2 linked regions of the Callithrix jacchus genome follow. The protein of the gene in region 2 interacts with the protein of the main gene of each other region in a pairwise test. Links are inferred from orthologs where the notes say so. Each region holds a gene or a part of one and is shown on either strand. Other genes may lie near its edges.

Region 1 (7,690 bases), on a different chromosome or scaffold from region 2:
AGTGGGGTTTCAGCAGTGGTCTGTGGAAGGGTGGGTAGTTTAGTGGAGTCCAAGAGATTCTGAAGTTACTCACGTCAAATCCATTCTGGGGGTCCCACCCTACGTGACTGACATGCCTGAAAGAGGTGAAGAGACTCCAGTGAATCCTCAGTGCCCCTCCTTCCCTCCCTTTGTAGTGAAGCCCTCTTGTCCTCTCCTGCCCAGAAAGACTCTGAGGGACCAGAATTAACAAATGAGACTGAATGAGTGAATGAGTATGAGCAGGAGTTATGGAATTAGAAGGGATCCATAGTTTGTGGTGCCAATCCATCCATCCCTCTTTCCTCATCTATTCACCCATGCATGTGTCCACCTATTCATTCACATTAATCTGTTGGACCACTGATCCACCCATACATCTGTTTCTGCAACTGTCTGCCCACATATGTCTGTTCACCCATTTGTCTACCAATCTGTCCTCACACACACTTGTCCATCTACCTACCCATGTGCCACTTTTCCATCCATCCACTCACTCATTTTTCTACCCATGCAACCACACACTTCTGTTCACTTATCCATTGAACTGTCCATTCATCCACCTATCTATCCACCTGTCCATCACCATCCACCTTGTCTGTGAACCAGTCAGCCTGCATATCAGTCTGTCCACACACTCATCCACTCACCCATCCATCTACTCACCCACCTCCCATCAACCCATCAACCCGTCCATCCAACCACTTATCCATTCATTCTTCAACCTATTCATTCTTCCATGCATTTATGCATCCATCCACCCATCCACTCAGCCACCTACCCACCAGCCCACCTCATCCATCATCTACCTCATCTATTCATCCATTCATCCACCTGCCCACCCATCTTCTCCTCTAACAGCCCACTCAGAGTGGGCCCAGGGTGAGGCAAGTGAGGTGCCTGAGGTGTAAAATTTAAGTGAGTCAGGAATTACAGTTGCATGCTCCTAAGAGTGAATACCTCCTTAAATTTTTCACACTTACTGCCTTATTTACCTCTCTCTAGACCCAGCCCTACACCTACCTATCCATCCACTTATTTACCCACCCAGTCACCCAGCCATCTGCCCATCCTTCCATCCACTCAGCTGTTCACTTGTTTATGTGCCCCTCTGCCCCAGGAATCTATGGGCCCACTGGGGAGTGATTCTCACTTGAATCCACTGGGTGCACCAATATCAGCTTTGCTGATCTTCTTCTTCCCTGAGCGTTTCTTATCAGCTGGGCCAGGTACAGGTGCTGGGAGTCCACGGTATCGTGAACTTGTGATGTCAGGGTTCTGGATGTCTACTGTCGCCAGCCCCAGGGACAGCGGACCAGCAGGTGGGCCTGTGGGGAAAATAGGGTGGTTGGCCCATTGACCCACTTACCAACCAACCAAAGCATAGGGGCAAGAAACAGAAGCCTTGGGGAAATCTGTGTGTGTGTTGGATGGTCATGGAGGGAGTGGGTGAAGGGTTCAAGGAGGGTCTATAGAGAAGTGAGTGGATCCTGCAAACCATTCATACATTCACTGATTCATTCATTATTTTCATTCCCTCATGGTTTATCATTCACTGGCTCACTGACTAATGAATTTGTTAACATTTTCATTTACTGATTTATTTATTCATCCTGCTTTCTTCACTGACCAAATTTGTCTTGTACTCGTTTATTCACTGTTCATTCATTCACTCATTCACGAATTTACTCAGTCATCCATACACCCTTTCATTCATTTATCCACATACCCATTCACCTATGCATCTATCTTTTTTTTTTTTTAAGATGGGGTTTCACCATGATGGCCAGGCTGGTCTTGAACTCCTGACTTCAGGTGATCCACCCACCTCGGCCTCCCAAAGTGGTAGGATTACAGGCGTGAGCCACAGCGCCCGGCCCACTTATGCATCTATCTATCTACTTAGACTTTCATCCTCCCATCAATTCATCCCTCCACTCAGCCATCTGCCACGAATCCACCCACCCGTCCATCGATCCCCACATCCATGCACCCACTCATCCATCCACATACCCATCCATTCACCCACTTAGGCACCCATCCAACTGCTCATTCCTCCATCCACTCTTCCACCTACCCACCCATCCATCCAGAGACACAGGGAAGAATCAGCACGCACCTCCTTGGTCTCCACCTGGGTGTGGGGGCAGGGGTGGGAGCCCTCCTCTTCTCTCTGGGAAGATGGGATGTGTCAAGAGCTATCACAACTCTGCCACAGGTTCTTGGGATAGCCCCTTATTACCCCTACTTGTACTAGAGGACTCACCTTCATTGGCTGGTGTTGGTGGTGGGGGTAGTTGGTGTCTGTCTGTGGATAGACAGATGGATTGGGAGTGAAAACCATGAGAGGAGACTTTTCTAGTTTCCCATACTTACACTCACTTCTGCCCAATTTCCTTTCCTCCCCTGCAGCCTCCTCACCTCCACTTTGCCTCTGATTCCTTTTTTGTATCTTCTCCTGCACCAGGGCCTGGAAGGCCTGGGCCTCGCCCTCGTCTGCAAAGTTCAGCCCCGCTTGGCAGTCCTGCACATACCTTGGGGTCAGCCACCTCCCAGGTCCCCCGCAGCTTTCCCATCTCCTCTCCAAAACCCAAGTGAGGCTCAAGGGCTGGTTGGTCACTTACATCTCCAGTGAAGGTGTGGAAGAAGGGGGTGGGGGTGGAGTAGACAAGCTGTGAGTACAGCTCCTGTTCCCAGAGAAGCCGACCAGCCTGGAGAGGTGTAGGGTGGGAGACACAGTGGCACTGAGGCAAGCCGGGGGTGGCAGGCCTTTGTTAGCTGGGCAGGGAGCAGGGTGTCTGGATTTGGGGGTCTCATAGTCTGGTTTGGAGATTTTTAGCTCAGTACCAGAGAGCTGGGGAATCTAACAGTGTGGATGTGGGGAGTTGGGGTACAATCTAGGAGTCAGACACTTTTGTGAGAGGTTTGGATTTGGGGTTCAGGGCCCTAGATGTGGGACTCGGGAGCTTGAATTTCATAATTTAGGACTCTAGTCTTAGGAAGTTGAGACTCATTCAGAGACTCAATCTGTGCCCTTCCCTGCCACCCCAGCCCCAATTAATGACAGGTAGGATTCTGGTATTTGGGAGTTAGAGTTGAGATTTGAAGTTCAAACACATAGATTTGGGAGTTTTGTGGGGAGTCCAGCTAAAGTAAGTGCAATTTGGGGTTTGTGGAGAAGAGTCATGGCTTAGGAGTTTGGTCAAGCTTTGACAGGCTTGGGATCTTGAAGTTATGCTGAGTCCATCTTTATGGGTTTAGAAGGATGAATTTGGGGCTTAAACCTAGAAAGTTCAGGTTGGGGGATTGTGAAAAAGACTTTTTTCTTAAGAACTACCTTGTGTCCCTGACCTGGGTAGAGTGGCATCTGGTTGGTAGTGCCCATCTCATATCAGCCAGGGACAAAGCAACCCCTTGTTCATCCCAGCTTGGCTCTTGATCTGTGCCTATGCCTGGTTCATGCCTTGGACACATAGGTTAAAAAAAAAAAACTACCTTGGTATTTGAGTGTTCAGGAATTTTAATATGGGAACTCTGGGGTCTGTGCTGTGGATTTAAAAGGACAGATGTGGAGTTCAAGGATCAATGGAATATTCAAGTTTGGGGTTTGGGGAACTGATTTATGACTTAGGAGCTTGGCAAACATCTGGGGTTCAAGAGTTTTGATGAAGGATTCCTGGGATGCAAAATGTTGAGTTTAGAATAGATTCAGGTATAAATACAGTGCTCATTTCTTGGAATTTGTAGAAAAGATTAGGCTTAGGCAGTATACTAATAATTGGGGGGCTTTAGAGATTTTGATATGGAGGCTGAGGCCAGTCATTGTAGACTTAGAAAGGCAAGCTACAGTTTGCCATCTGGCTGAGTCTTTGGTTCTGGGGCTCAGGGATTCATTAATCAGGTCTGAGGTCTTGGGGCGATGGACACAGATGGACACAGATTTGACAGATCTGGGTTTGTGAGTTGAGAACTGGCTTGCAAGTCCAGTAGGGGGGTGGGAGTCACCTGAAGGCCATAAAGGCGGATGAAGTAGGACTTCTTGGGGTTATCCTTCACGAAGCACACAGCCCCACAATGCTCCTTGGTCCAGTGCTCAGCTCCAGGGGGCAGCGCCAGGTACAGCTGAACAACTGCGGTGGCCAGCGTCTGGGAGGGGAAAGCAGGGGTCAGTGGAGTCTGGTCAGGTGTAGCCACAGGGTCTTGGAGCCAGACCTGGTCCTTCCTGCCTCATGACAGTCGTGGGCCTGAAGGAAGAACTGCATGCAGCCAGAGGGAAAGCAAGTAGACATTGGGTTCTTCCTGGGAAGGGTGGACGATGACAGGAGATTCTAGGAGAGAAGATGATGGAGAGGGAAAGGAGGAGCGGGAGGAGGGGAAGAAAGAGAAGGCGGAGAGGAAGAGGAGGAAACAGTGAGGACGGGGCGGGGGCAGGAGATCCCCAGCTCACCAAGCATTTTCGTCCAAGCATCTCAAAGAGTCGCTGGTTCTCGTGGTCCTGGAGGAGGGTGGACGGTATGTTCTGCTGAACCACTGGTGCTCCTCGGCCCCCGGGCCTTCCTCCCATTGGGCCCCCACTCATGGTGCTTTCTGTCCTTGTCTTCTCCAGTGAGGCTCTGGGTGCAGGGTAAGAAGAGGAACTTCCGCAGTGAGCAGCAAGGGAACAGGAAGTGCAAAAACCCACAAGGGACAAGTGAAACAAGTACTCCAGGGGCCCCTTGGTGGGCCTGGCCTCCTCCTCATTAGGCCAAGCTTGGGCCCTCTGCCATCAGATTGGAACCCTCTTCCACTTAACTGCTTAGACCCATCTTTTGGATCAGCTTGGGTCCTCCTCCTCCGTCTTTCTTACTCTCTGGGGCCTATCTCCTCTGACTGGCTCAGACCCTCCTCCCTCTGGCAGGCAGTGAGAGCTTAGCCATCAGCAGCACATCTGTGTGCAGGGCTCCCTGTGGCAAAGAGTAGCCATGGGCCTGGGTGGCCTCCTTTGTAAGGCACCCAGGTAGCCTGAGACTAAGGCTCTAGGTCCCTAGTGCTGAAGGGTTACTACAGTAACATTTTTCCTTTTGGCCAGGCGCGGTGGCTCACGCCTGTAATCCCAACACTTTGGGAGGCCGAGGCGAGCAGATCACTTGAAGTCAGGAGTTAAAGACCATCCTGGGCAATATGGTGAAACCCCATCTCTACTAAAAAATACAAAAATTAGGCCAGGCACAGTGGCTCACGCCTGTAATCCCAGCACTTTGGGAGGCTGAGATGGGTGGATCACCTGAGGTCAGGAGTTCAAGACCAGCCTGGCCAACATGGTGACACCCCATCTCTAAAAAATGAAAGAAAAAGAAAAAAAATTACCAAAATTATCCAGGCATGATGGCACACACTTATAGTCCTAGCTACTCAGGAGGCTGAGGCAGGAGAATCACTTGAACCTGGGAGGCAGAGGTTGCAGTGAGCTGAGATCGAACCACTGCATGCCATTCTGGATGATGACAGAGCAAGACTCTGTCTCAAAAACAAACAAAAAAACCCTTTCCTTTTAATTACAGAGCGAGCCCTTGTGATCCACCCCTATCCTGAGTACCCAGACACTGCCAATTACGCATATGCCTCTGGTTCACTCCCCCATCCCTTACCTTGCCTCTCCACAGCTCCCAAATTACTTTCTGCTTGTCATCCCTTTTTTAAAGAAAGGAACTTTAGGGCCAGGCACGGTGGCTCAAGCCTGTAATACCAGCACTTTGGGAGGCCAAGGCAGGTGGATCACGAGGTCAAGAGATCGAGACCATCCCGGTCAACATGGTGAAACCCCGTCTCTACTAAAAATACAAAAAAATTAGCTGGGCATGGTGGCGGGTGCCTGTAATCCCAGCTACTCAGGAGGCTGAGGCAGGAGAATTGCCTGAACCCAGGAGGCGGAGGTTGCGGTGAGCCGAGATCGCACCATTGCACGCCAGACTGGGTAACAAGAGCGAAACTCAGTCTCAAAAAAAAAAAAAAAAAGAAAGGAAATTTATATCATATATGATATACCTGAACAACATCTTGTTTAGTTTTCTTTGCTCTTGAAGTTTGTAAAAGCACATAATATTCAAAGGCTTGCGTTCTCCCCACTGGACATCCTAGTTTTATCTTCACTCGCATAGCACTTAATGTATGTGCCAGGCACTGTTCTGAACCCTTTTCCAGGAGTGCGAGCCAGGCAGGCCAAGAGTAAGTGCACGTTCTGGGGACTTGAAGCTCTCAGGCATAGGGACAGCAGTTTTGGGGAGCTGAGCAGGTCTGGGGTGTGACTGACATTCCTAGGTACCTGAAGGAGGAATGGCACATCTCCAGATGGGACCTGCAGCCCTTCCTGGAAACTTCCATGGCTCCCCACACATGCAGGTTCAAAGCCTCTCTCCTGAACCTAGGCTGAGAGTCCCTTCTGCAGTGGCAGTTCCAACCTCCCTCCCGTGTCCCCACTCACAGCTAAGCTTCAGGCCTAGAGCACTTCCAACCAGCTGATCAGGGCAGGCCCCGATGTGGCCTTCAAGGCCATTGCACATGTTCATTGTGACACGCTCGATGAGCAGTCACGGTGTGCCAGGAGTATCTCCAGCATCTGGACAGATGGCACTAAATGGGTATTGAGGGATTGAATGAGGGATCAATAATGATATCCAATTCGATTCAGTGGTTTCAGAGGTTTTTCTAAGTGCCTTCCATTTATTAACTCATTTCACATTCACAGATGACCCCACCAAGTAAGGACTATTGTTGTTATCCCCATTGTACTGATGGGGAAGCTGAGGCCCAGAGGAACTTGGGTGCCTTACCCAAGGTCACACAGCTTGTGACTGGTGGAGTTGAGGAAAATTATGAGAGAAATAGTTGTTCCCAAGCTGTGAGGTGCCACATGGGGGCCGAGATAAAATTCATCTGCTCCTCTCTGTCTTTTGTTCTATACCTTTCTATCTTTTTCTCTGCCTCCAGAACTGTCCCCTTGAATAGGGGACGCTAAGCCTCTGATATATTTGCTGGTTGTTGTTGTTTTTATTATTTTTATTTTTTTTGAGATGGAGTTTTGCTCTTGTTACCCAGGCTGGAGTGCAATGGCGCGATCTCAGCTCACTGCAACCTCTGCCTCCTGGGTTCAAGCAATTCTCCTGCCTCAGCCTCCCGAGTAGCTGGGACTACAGGCGCGTGCCACCATGCCCAGCTAATTTTTGTATTTTTAGTAGAGACGGGGTTTCACCATGTTGACCAGGATGGTCTCAATCTCTTGACCTTATGATCCACCCGCCTCAGCCTCCCAAAGTGCTGGGATTATAGGCGTGAGCCACCGCACCCGGCCTGTTTTTGTTTTTAAAGTGAAAGCAAGTTTATTAAGAAAGTAAAATAAAGAATAGCTACTCCATAGGCAGAGCAGCAGCTTGGGCTGCTGGACTAAGGATACTTAGAATTATTATTTTTTATTATTATAGAAAAAATATGGGGTTTCACCACGATGGCCAGGCTGGTCTTGAACTCCTGACCTCAGTTGATCCACCCACCTCGGCCTCCAAAAGTGCTAGGATTACAGGCCTGAGCCACGCGCCCAGCCAGTTATTTCTTGATTATATGCTAAACAAGGGGCAGATTATTCATGAGTTTTCCAGGAAAGGGGTGGGCAATTCTGGGAACTGAGCATTCCTCCCCT
Region 2 (7,117 bases):
TTTTTTAACAATTTTTTAAAAATAGGGGGAGGAGGGGATGGGGAAAAAAGAAAGAAAGAAAGAAAGATAAATATGGCCGGGTGAGGTAGCTCACGTCTGTAATCCCAGCACTTTGGGAGGCCAAGGTGGGTGGATCATGAGGTTAGGAGTTCGAAACCAGCCTGGCCAATATGGTGAAACCCCATCTCTACTGTATATAAAAATTATCTGGGCATGGTGGCATGTGCCTATAGTCCTAGCTACTTGGGAGGCTGAAGCAGGAAAATTGCTTAAACCCGGGAGGCAGAAATTGCAGTGAGCCAAGATCGTGCCACTGCGTTCCAGCCTGGCCCACAGAGTGAGACTCTGTCTCAAAAAGAAAAGAAAACAGAAAGATAAATATAACACTAAACAAGACAGTCAGGATCTTAACTCTGCATACAATCTCTAAGGAAAACTTGAGAATTCAAATAAATCCATGTACACTGTTTAGTACAGTAAGTGATTAATAAATACTGTTTTCGTTATCATTAGTCTATCATCTCCGTCTCCTCTGTGTCTACATATACAGGTAGTCACGACTATAACAGATCTTTGGAAAAGACCAGACCTAAGCTCGACTTACTTTCAGTTATTTATTTATTTTTTCTTGAGACACAGTCTCACTCTGTGGCCCAGGCTGGAGTGCAGTGGCGCAGTCTCAGCTCACTGCAACCTCCGCCTCCTGGGTTCCAGCGATTCTTGTGCCTCAGCTGCCCGAGTAGCTGGGATTACAGGTGCACGTCACCACGCCTGGCTAATTTTTGTATTTTTAATAGAGTCAGGATTTCCGTATGTTGCCCAGGCTGGTCTCGAACTCCTGGCCTCAAGCCATCCACCTGCCTCGGCCTCCCAGAGTGCTTGCATTACGGGCATAAGCCGCTGCGCCCGGCCAATTTCATTCCAGTTCTAACACCTGACCCACTTTACAGATGAAGAAACAGGAATTAGAAGGTGAAACAAGCTGCCCAAGATCTCGGAGATGAAGCTGGAAATCAAGTCCAGTTTGTTTTGACTCTAGAACATGCACCCTTAACCCCTCCACCATAGACACCCAGGAACTAGAGAGTTCTGAATGGAACTTTACACCAATAAAAGCTATTCTGTCCAAGAGGTTACATGCAAATGGCAAAATACCATTTGGCTGCCTGTTAGCAAGTGGCAAATGTCATTCCTATTATGTAACAGGACTGGGAAGAAGATTTTGTTGCTTGGAAAGAGTAAAGATTTTTTTTTAATCTGGCAGATTTTTTTGTTGTTAATATTTTGTGTGTTTGAACTGTTAGACAACCATATGCTGCTTTTTCTTTCTTTCAGCCAATTGATGTGGTGATCTAGATGGATGGATTTTTTGGTATTGAACCATCTTTGCATTATTGGGATAATGCCCAAGTGATGATGAATTTTTTTTTTTTTTTTTTTTTTTAGTTTTTAAAAAATTTGTTGTTTCTTTTTTTTTGAGACAGAGTTTCACTCTTGTTGCCCGGGCTGGAATGCAATGGCTCGACCTTGGCTCACCGCAACTACTGCCTCCTGGGTTCAAGCAGTTCACCTCAGCCTCCCAAGTAGGGATTATGGCTGCATGCCACAATGCCCTGCTAATTTTTGTATTTTCAGCAGAGACAGGGTTTTACTATGTTGGTCAGACTTGTCTCAAACACCTGACCTCAGGTGATCCGCCTGCCTCAGCCTCCCAAAGTGATGTATTATTTTTTAAACACTGGATCTGCTTGGCTAGGCTTTTGTGAAGGATTTGCTTGGCTAGGATCTATGATCATAAATAAAGTAAAATGAGCCCTCAATTTTCTCTTCTTGAATTCTTGGCCACTGATTTGGGAATCAGGATTCTTCAGCCTAAAGAGGCTGACAGGTTTCACTCTTTTTCTGTTTGCTGGAAGGACTTGTGTAAGACAAGAAGTAACTGTTTCTTTTGTTCTTTTTGAGACAGGGTCTCACTCTGGCAGCCAGGCTAAAGTGCATATGGTGCAATCACAGCTATCTGCAGTCTCAGCTTCCCAGGCACAAGCCATCCTCCCACCTCAGCCTCCCAAGTAGCTGAGACAGGCACAAAACACCACACCCAGCTATTTTTTTTTTTTTTTTTTTTTTTTGTAGAAATGGAGTCTCACTCTGTTGCCCAGGCAGGACTCAAACTCCTAGGCTCAGGTGATCCTCCTGCCCTGACCTCCCAAAATACCAGGATTGCAGGCATGAGCCACTGCACCTGGTCAAGAAGTAACTGTCCCTTGGGATTGTTGGGGAGATCATCATCAGGGTCTTCAGATTGTTGGAGAGATCTCTGAATACTATTTAGATGTCATTCATTTACAGACCAGGGCAGTGGCTCATGCCTATAATTCCAGCATTATGGAAGGCCAAGGCAGGCAGATCACCTTAGGTCAGGAGTTCAAGACCAGGCTGGACAACATGGGAAAACCCCACCTCTACCAAAATATAAAAAGTAGCTGGGTGTGGTAGTGCACGCCTGTGGTCCTACGTACTTGGGAGGCTGAGGCACAGAATCGCTTGAACCTGGGATGTTGAACTTTTAGTCCAACTTTTAATGAGGCTGCAGTGAGCCAAGATTGCGCCACTGCACTCCAGCCTGGGTGACAGAGCAAGACCCTGTCTTAAAATAAAATAAAAATGGCCAAAACGGGGTCTCACTGAGAGGCTGAGGCGGTCTACGGCCATACCACCCTGAACGCGCCCGATCTCGTCTGATCTCGGAAGCTAAGCAGGGTCGGGCCTGGTTAGTACTTGGATGGGAGACGCTGAGGCGAGCGGATCACGAGGTCAGGAGTTTTGAGTCCAGCCTGGCCAACATGACGAAACTCCGTCTCTACTAAAAATACAAATACTTAGCCAGACATGGTGGCATGCAACTGTGATCCCAGCTACTCAGGAGGCTGAGGCAGGACAACTGCTTGAACCTGGGAGGTGGAGGTCGCAGTGAGCTGAGATCGTGCCACTACACTCTGGCCTGGGCAACAGAGCAAGACTCCATCTCAAAAAATAATAAAATATAATAAAAATGAAATAAATAAAGTGATAAATAAATGGAATTCATTTACTATTTTATCATGCTCCTTGCCTGCCCTCCCTACCCCACCACCGTACCTCTGGTCAACCTCCTTCTGAAGTTCACGATTGCGTTCTTCCAACTGCTGTTGAAGCCGTTTTCGCTGCTGCTCTGGGGGCAAGTGGCTAAAATCCTCGGTCACCACTGTCTGCAAGGTGGGTATGGGGTTGAACTGGGGATCAAGGAGTCTAGGCTGCCAGACTCTGCACACGTCTGAGCTATTTCACTTCCTTCCCCAGCCACGATTCTTGGCAGCGAGGCCATGCACAGAGCAAAGCGGGTCTGGGTTGGGCAACCAGGGAAGAGGGGCCCAGCCAGCGGCAGGAAGCGAGCCCAGGGTCCCGCCACCCGCCGCTGGGCAGGCTAGGGCCACCACCTCCTCCTGCCCCGAGGCCTCACTTACCCCACGGCTGCCTCGAAGGCTGCGGAAGGATGCTAGCCTCGGTTTGACCGACTTACTGATCTCGCTCAGTATGGTCAAGGGGTCACGGCCGGAGCGGGGGGACGGGGGTCCATTAGGCAATGCCAAGGGTATGGGGCCCCCCAGGGGGGAGAGGGGTGGGGGGCGAGGCTACCGGCAGGGGGCGGGGAGAGGGATAGGTTGAAGGAGTGGGTGGGGGTAGGAAGATGCAGAGAATGCGGACGAATGGACGGAGGAATGGACGCATGGATGGACGGATGGACGCAACAAAGAAAAAAAAGGAAAAACAAAACGGAGAAAGAAAAAAAATGGTAAGAAAACCACAACTCAGGATGTGCAACCACACAGAGAAAAATGCATGCAAGAGCGACATAAAAAATCTGGAAGGTGGCGGGAAGGAGGTCGAACTGTAAGCCCGAAAGCCAGAACTCTCAGGCCCCCAGGTATCTCCTAGGTCTCTGGAAGGTGATGTCCGGGGGCAAGCATGGGTCAGGAGGCAGGGGCACACATGTCTCTCTGTCCACTTAGCTTTCGGGGCTGACAGTCTAGAAGACGCATGCAGGAATCACGGTCTCAGACACATATGGGGCCACAGAGGCCACAAGCCGAGAGGGGAGTGGGAAGCAGGAAGATGAGTGGGGTTGGGGCATCAGAGGGCTGAGTCCGGAGATCACAGGTGTAAGTCGAGGAGAGGTATGAAAGTTTGAGTCAGGGGGCCCCGAAGTGTAAATCAAAGTATAAACCAAGGGTGCCAAGGTCTGAAAATCCAAACAGCCAAGACAAGAGGACGTGCAGGGTGGTTCCCAGAGTCCCACCAGCAGGATGGAGAGAGGAACTCGGGGAGTCCCCAGGGATGATGTCACCAGCCCTCAGGCCAGCCCTCAATTCCACCAGCAGGTCTTCTCCCAGCATCCCGAGAAGCAGCAAACAGACAGACGCCACAGACCTCCCCTCCCCACCCCCCCCTTCGCCTCGGGGGACTCCCAGGCCAATCGGCCCGCCCGCCTTCCTTCCCTCCAGCCCGGGCCGGCAGCCAAGAGGAAAATTCCTGCCCGGGACTCAGCGTTCAGGCGGCTGGGGCTGACTCAGTAGGGGCCCCACTGTCCCCACCTCACTGTCCTTCTCCCCCAGCATCCCAAGGGTCCCGGCCCCCACCTTGTTTTTCTTCCCAAAAGGCCAGCGCTTGGCACGGCTGCGGCCCGGGCCCCGGAGCTCAGGCCGTCCTTCCGAGGGGGTGCCCAGGCTGCTGTCCGAGGGTGCCCGGTTCATGGGCTGGCTGAAGTCCTCGAATTCCACGTCGCCCGGGCGGGCAAAACCTGACTTGTGCAGCTCTATAAGGACTTGGGAGTCCTGGGAGAGGGGCACAGGGGATGTGCAGTCAAGCGCCTTGCTTATGGGGACCTCCCTCTGCCCACCCCCCGGCCCACTGTTCCCAGAACAGGCACCTACGTTCTTGGGATCCACAGCATGTGCCGCCACCTTCATGCCCTCCAAACACTTGGCGATGATGGGCACCACCTCCAGCTCGGCCTCCGAGAGGAGCCCATACCCAGCACCCAGGCGGATAGCCCTGCGTTCGTCCATGTCCTGGAGCTTCTGTAGGGATGGGGCAAGCGGGGCTCAGGGGTGCTAACAGAGGTTCTAGAAGCACAGTGAGTCACTCTGCAACTATGATCGCGCTCCACGCTGGCCTCAACCCCAAGCCAGTCTGGAGGGGAAGACAGAATCGGGAAGAGAGACTCCAGCCCAGTGTGGCTGAAGAGACACAGTGCCAGGGGGATGGCAGAGGGGTATGCCTGCCTAGGTCGGCAAAGGCTTCTCCAAGGAGACAAGAGGGCAGGGATTTAAAGAAAAAGCAGAACCAGCCCTGATATTCCCAGGGCCAGGGACCGGACAGAGAGTGGAGCACTAGATTAAAACCAAGAGGGTAACTTTGGCCGGGCACGGTGGCTCACACCTGTAATCCCAGCACTTTGGGAGGCCAAGGAGAGCGGATCACGAGGTCAGGAGTTTGAGACCAGGCTGGCCAATATGGTGAAATCCCATCTCTACTAAAAATACAAAATTTAGCCAGGTGTGGTGCTGTGCGCCTACAGTCCCAGCTACTCGGGAGGCTGGCACAGAAGAATCGCTTGAACCCAGGAGGCGGAGGTTGCAGTGAGCTGAGATCGCGCCATTGCACTCCAGCCTGGGTGACAGAGCAAGACTCCATCTCAAAAAATAAAAAAAAAAAGAAGAAGAAAAATTTGAGACCTTTCAGAAGAGTTGTTAGAGGTGGAGCTTAGAAGAATAAGTAGGAATTTCAAAAAGAAAGAAAGGTCGCTTGAGCCAAGGGGTTCCAGGCTGCAGTAAGCTGTGATCTTGCCACTGCCTGGGTGACAGAGCTGGGCCCCATCTCTCTATAGAAGTAAATAAACAAACAAATAAGTAAAAGGCATGCCCAGCAAGAAGAACAGCTGGACTAAAAGAACAGCATCTGACTATTATTATAGGTTTCTGATTCACTTTCAATCTAGGGACTGGAACATTGCAGCTGGGGTTTTGACGAATGTGTAAGAGTTGGTTAACATTGAGGGCTTTCCGGAAGGTAGGTCTGAGAACTGGGAGCACTCACATCGAATATCTGGGGCATCTGTGAAAAGTAGAAGTGGGCTTGGTCTCGGTTGAAGCGTTGTAGTTGAGCCGCGTATTCGTTTTTGCTTTCTTCTGCCATGTGACTCCGGAGGTGGGCTTGCTGCTTGGCCTGGGGAATGCAGCGGTGGAGGAGACTGCCAGGTTCTGGTCACATCCCACTCAGATTCCCCCAAGTCTGTCCCAGACCCTGCCTCCCCCCAACACACACACCTTCTCCACATCAGCCTTGGTGGCGTTGATATCCTGGTCTAGCCGCTCAGCAGTCTGGGCTGCCTTCTCTGCCTCCCGGCAGTCCCGCTCAAATTTACGCTTACTCTGTGTAAGGGACAGAACCAGAGTGAAGGAGCCACCATCCCAAAGACAGCGGGGTGAAAAGCCAGCTTTCAGGTTGTTGGGATGTCACCTGTAAGTAGGGGACAAGGGCATACTGGAAGCCTATGGGGGAGGGAAGGGCTAGGTCCGATAAAGAGGGCAGCTGCCTGACTCCACGATCCACAAGGCCCCCCCCACCCACTCCAGGCCAGTCGCTGCTGCCTCTGCACACTCACATTCTCCAGCTGTTTGAAGCCGTTTTCCAGCTGCTGCTGGGCCCTGCGTCCTTCTTGGAAGTGCTACAGAAAGAAGAGCGATAAGGCTCAACAGGGTTCCAGCAGGAGCCCTTTGCAAGACCTGGAGAGGGGGTTCCTCACCATCTTCCTCTCCTGTTTCATCTCTTGCGAGTACTTGGTCAGCTCTAGACACACACGGACACTCAGGTTCTCGGCCACCAGCTCCCGCTGGCCGGCAAAGTCATTCACCTCCTGGAGAATCTGTACGAAGGACTGCTGCTGGCTGAATCTGGGGTAGGATGAGAATCACGGAACAGGGAGTGAGGGCCTTCCTGCACCCGTAGGCTGATGCCCCAGGACACACCTCCAGGTGGAAAAGGGTTAAGCCCCAAGAATTTCTTGCTCTGTCGCCCT

What was found. The genes of interacting proteins can lie anywhere in the genome.
Region 1: the proteins of TRIP10 (region 2) and WAS interact in a two-hybrid assay, tested with the Homo sapiens proteins (2 studies listed by BioGRID). The link is inferred for Callithrix jacchus from reciprocal best matches to the Homo sapiens genes TRIP10 and WAS.

Annotation. Positions count from the first base shown.
Region 1 is NC_133524.1:49,249,454-49,257,143, reverse strand, and holds the start of WAS (actin nucleation-promoting factor WAS), read right to left. Parts: upstream 4,645-7,690; 5' UTR 4,598-4,644; coding exon 4,466-4,597; intron 4,165-4,465; coding exon 4,024-4,164; intron 3,495-4,023; exon of another isoform or gene 3,360-3,494; intron 2,730-3,359; coding exon 2,643-2,729; intron 2,543-2,642; coding exon 2,440-2,542; intron 2,327-2,439; coding exon 2,285-2,326; intron 2,192-2,284; coding exon 2,138-2,191; intron 1,347-2,137; coding exon 1,172-1,346; intron 117-1,171; coding exon 74-116; intron 1-73. UniProt on the Homo sapiens protein: Effector protein for Rho-type GTPases that regulates actin filament reorganization via its interaction with the Arp2/3 complex. Important for efficient actin polymerization. Possible regulator of lymphocyte and platelet function.
Region 2 is NC_133523.1:6,334,503-6,341,619, reverse strand, and holds part of TRIP10 (cdc42-interacting protein 4), read right to left. Parts: intron 6,993-7,117; coding exon 6,845-6,992; intron 6,767-6,844; coding exon 6,704-6,766; intron 6,471-6,703; coding exon 6,366-6,470; intron 6,265-6,365; coding exon 6,136-6,264; intron 5,118-6,135; coding exon 4,971-5,117; intron 4,872-4,970; coding exon 4,677-4,871; intron 3,672-4,676; coding exon 3,504-3,671; intron 3,249-3,503; coding exon 3,139-3,248; intron 1-3,138. UniProt on the Homo sapiens protein: Required for translocation of GLUT4 to the plasma membrane in response to insulin signaling. Required to coordinate membrane tubulation with reorganization of the actin cytoskeleton during endocytosis.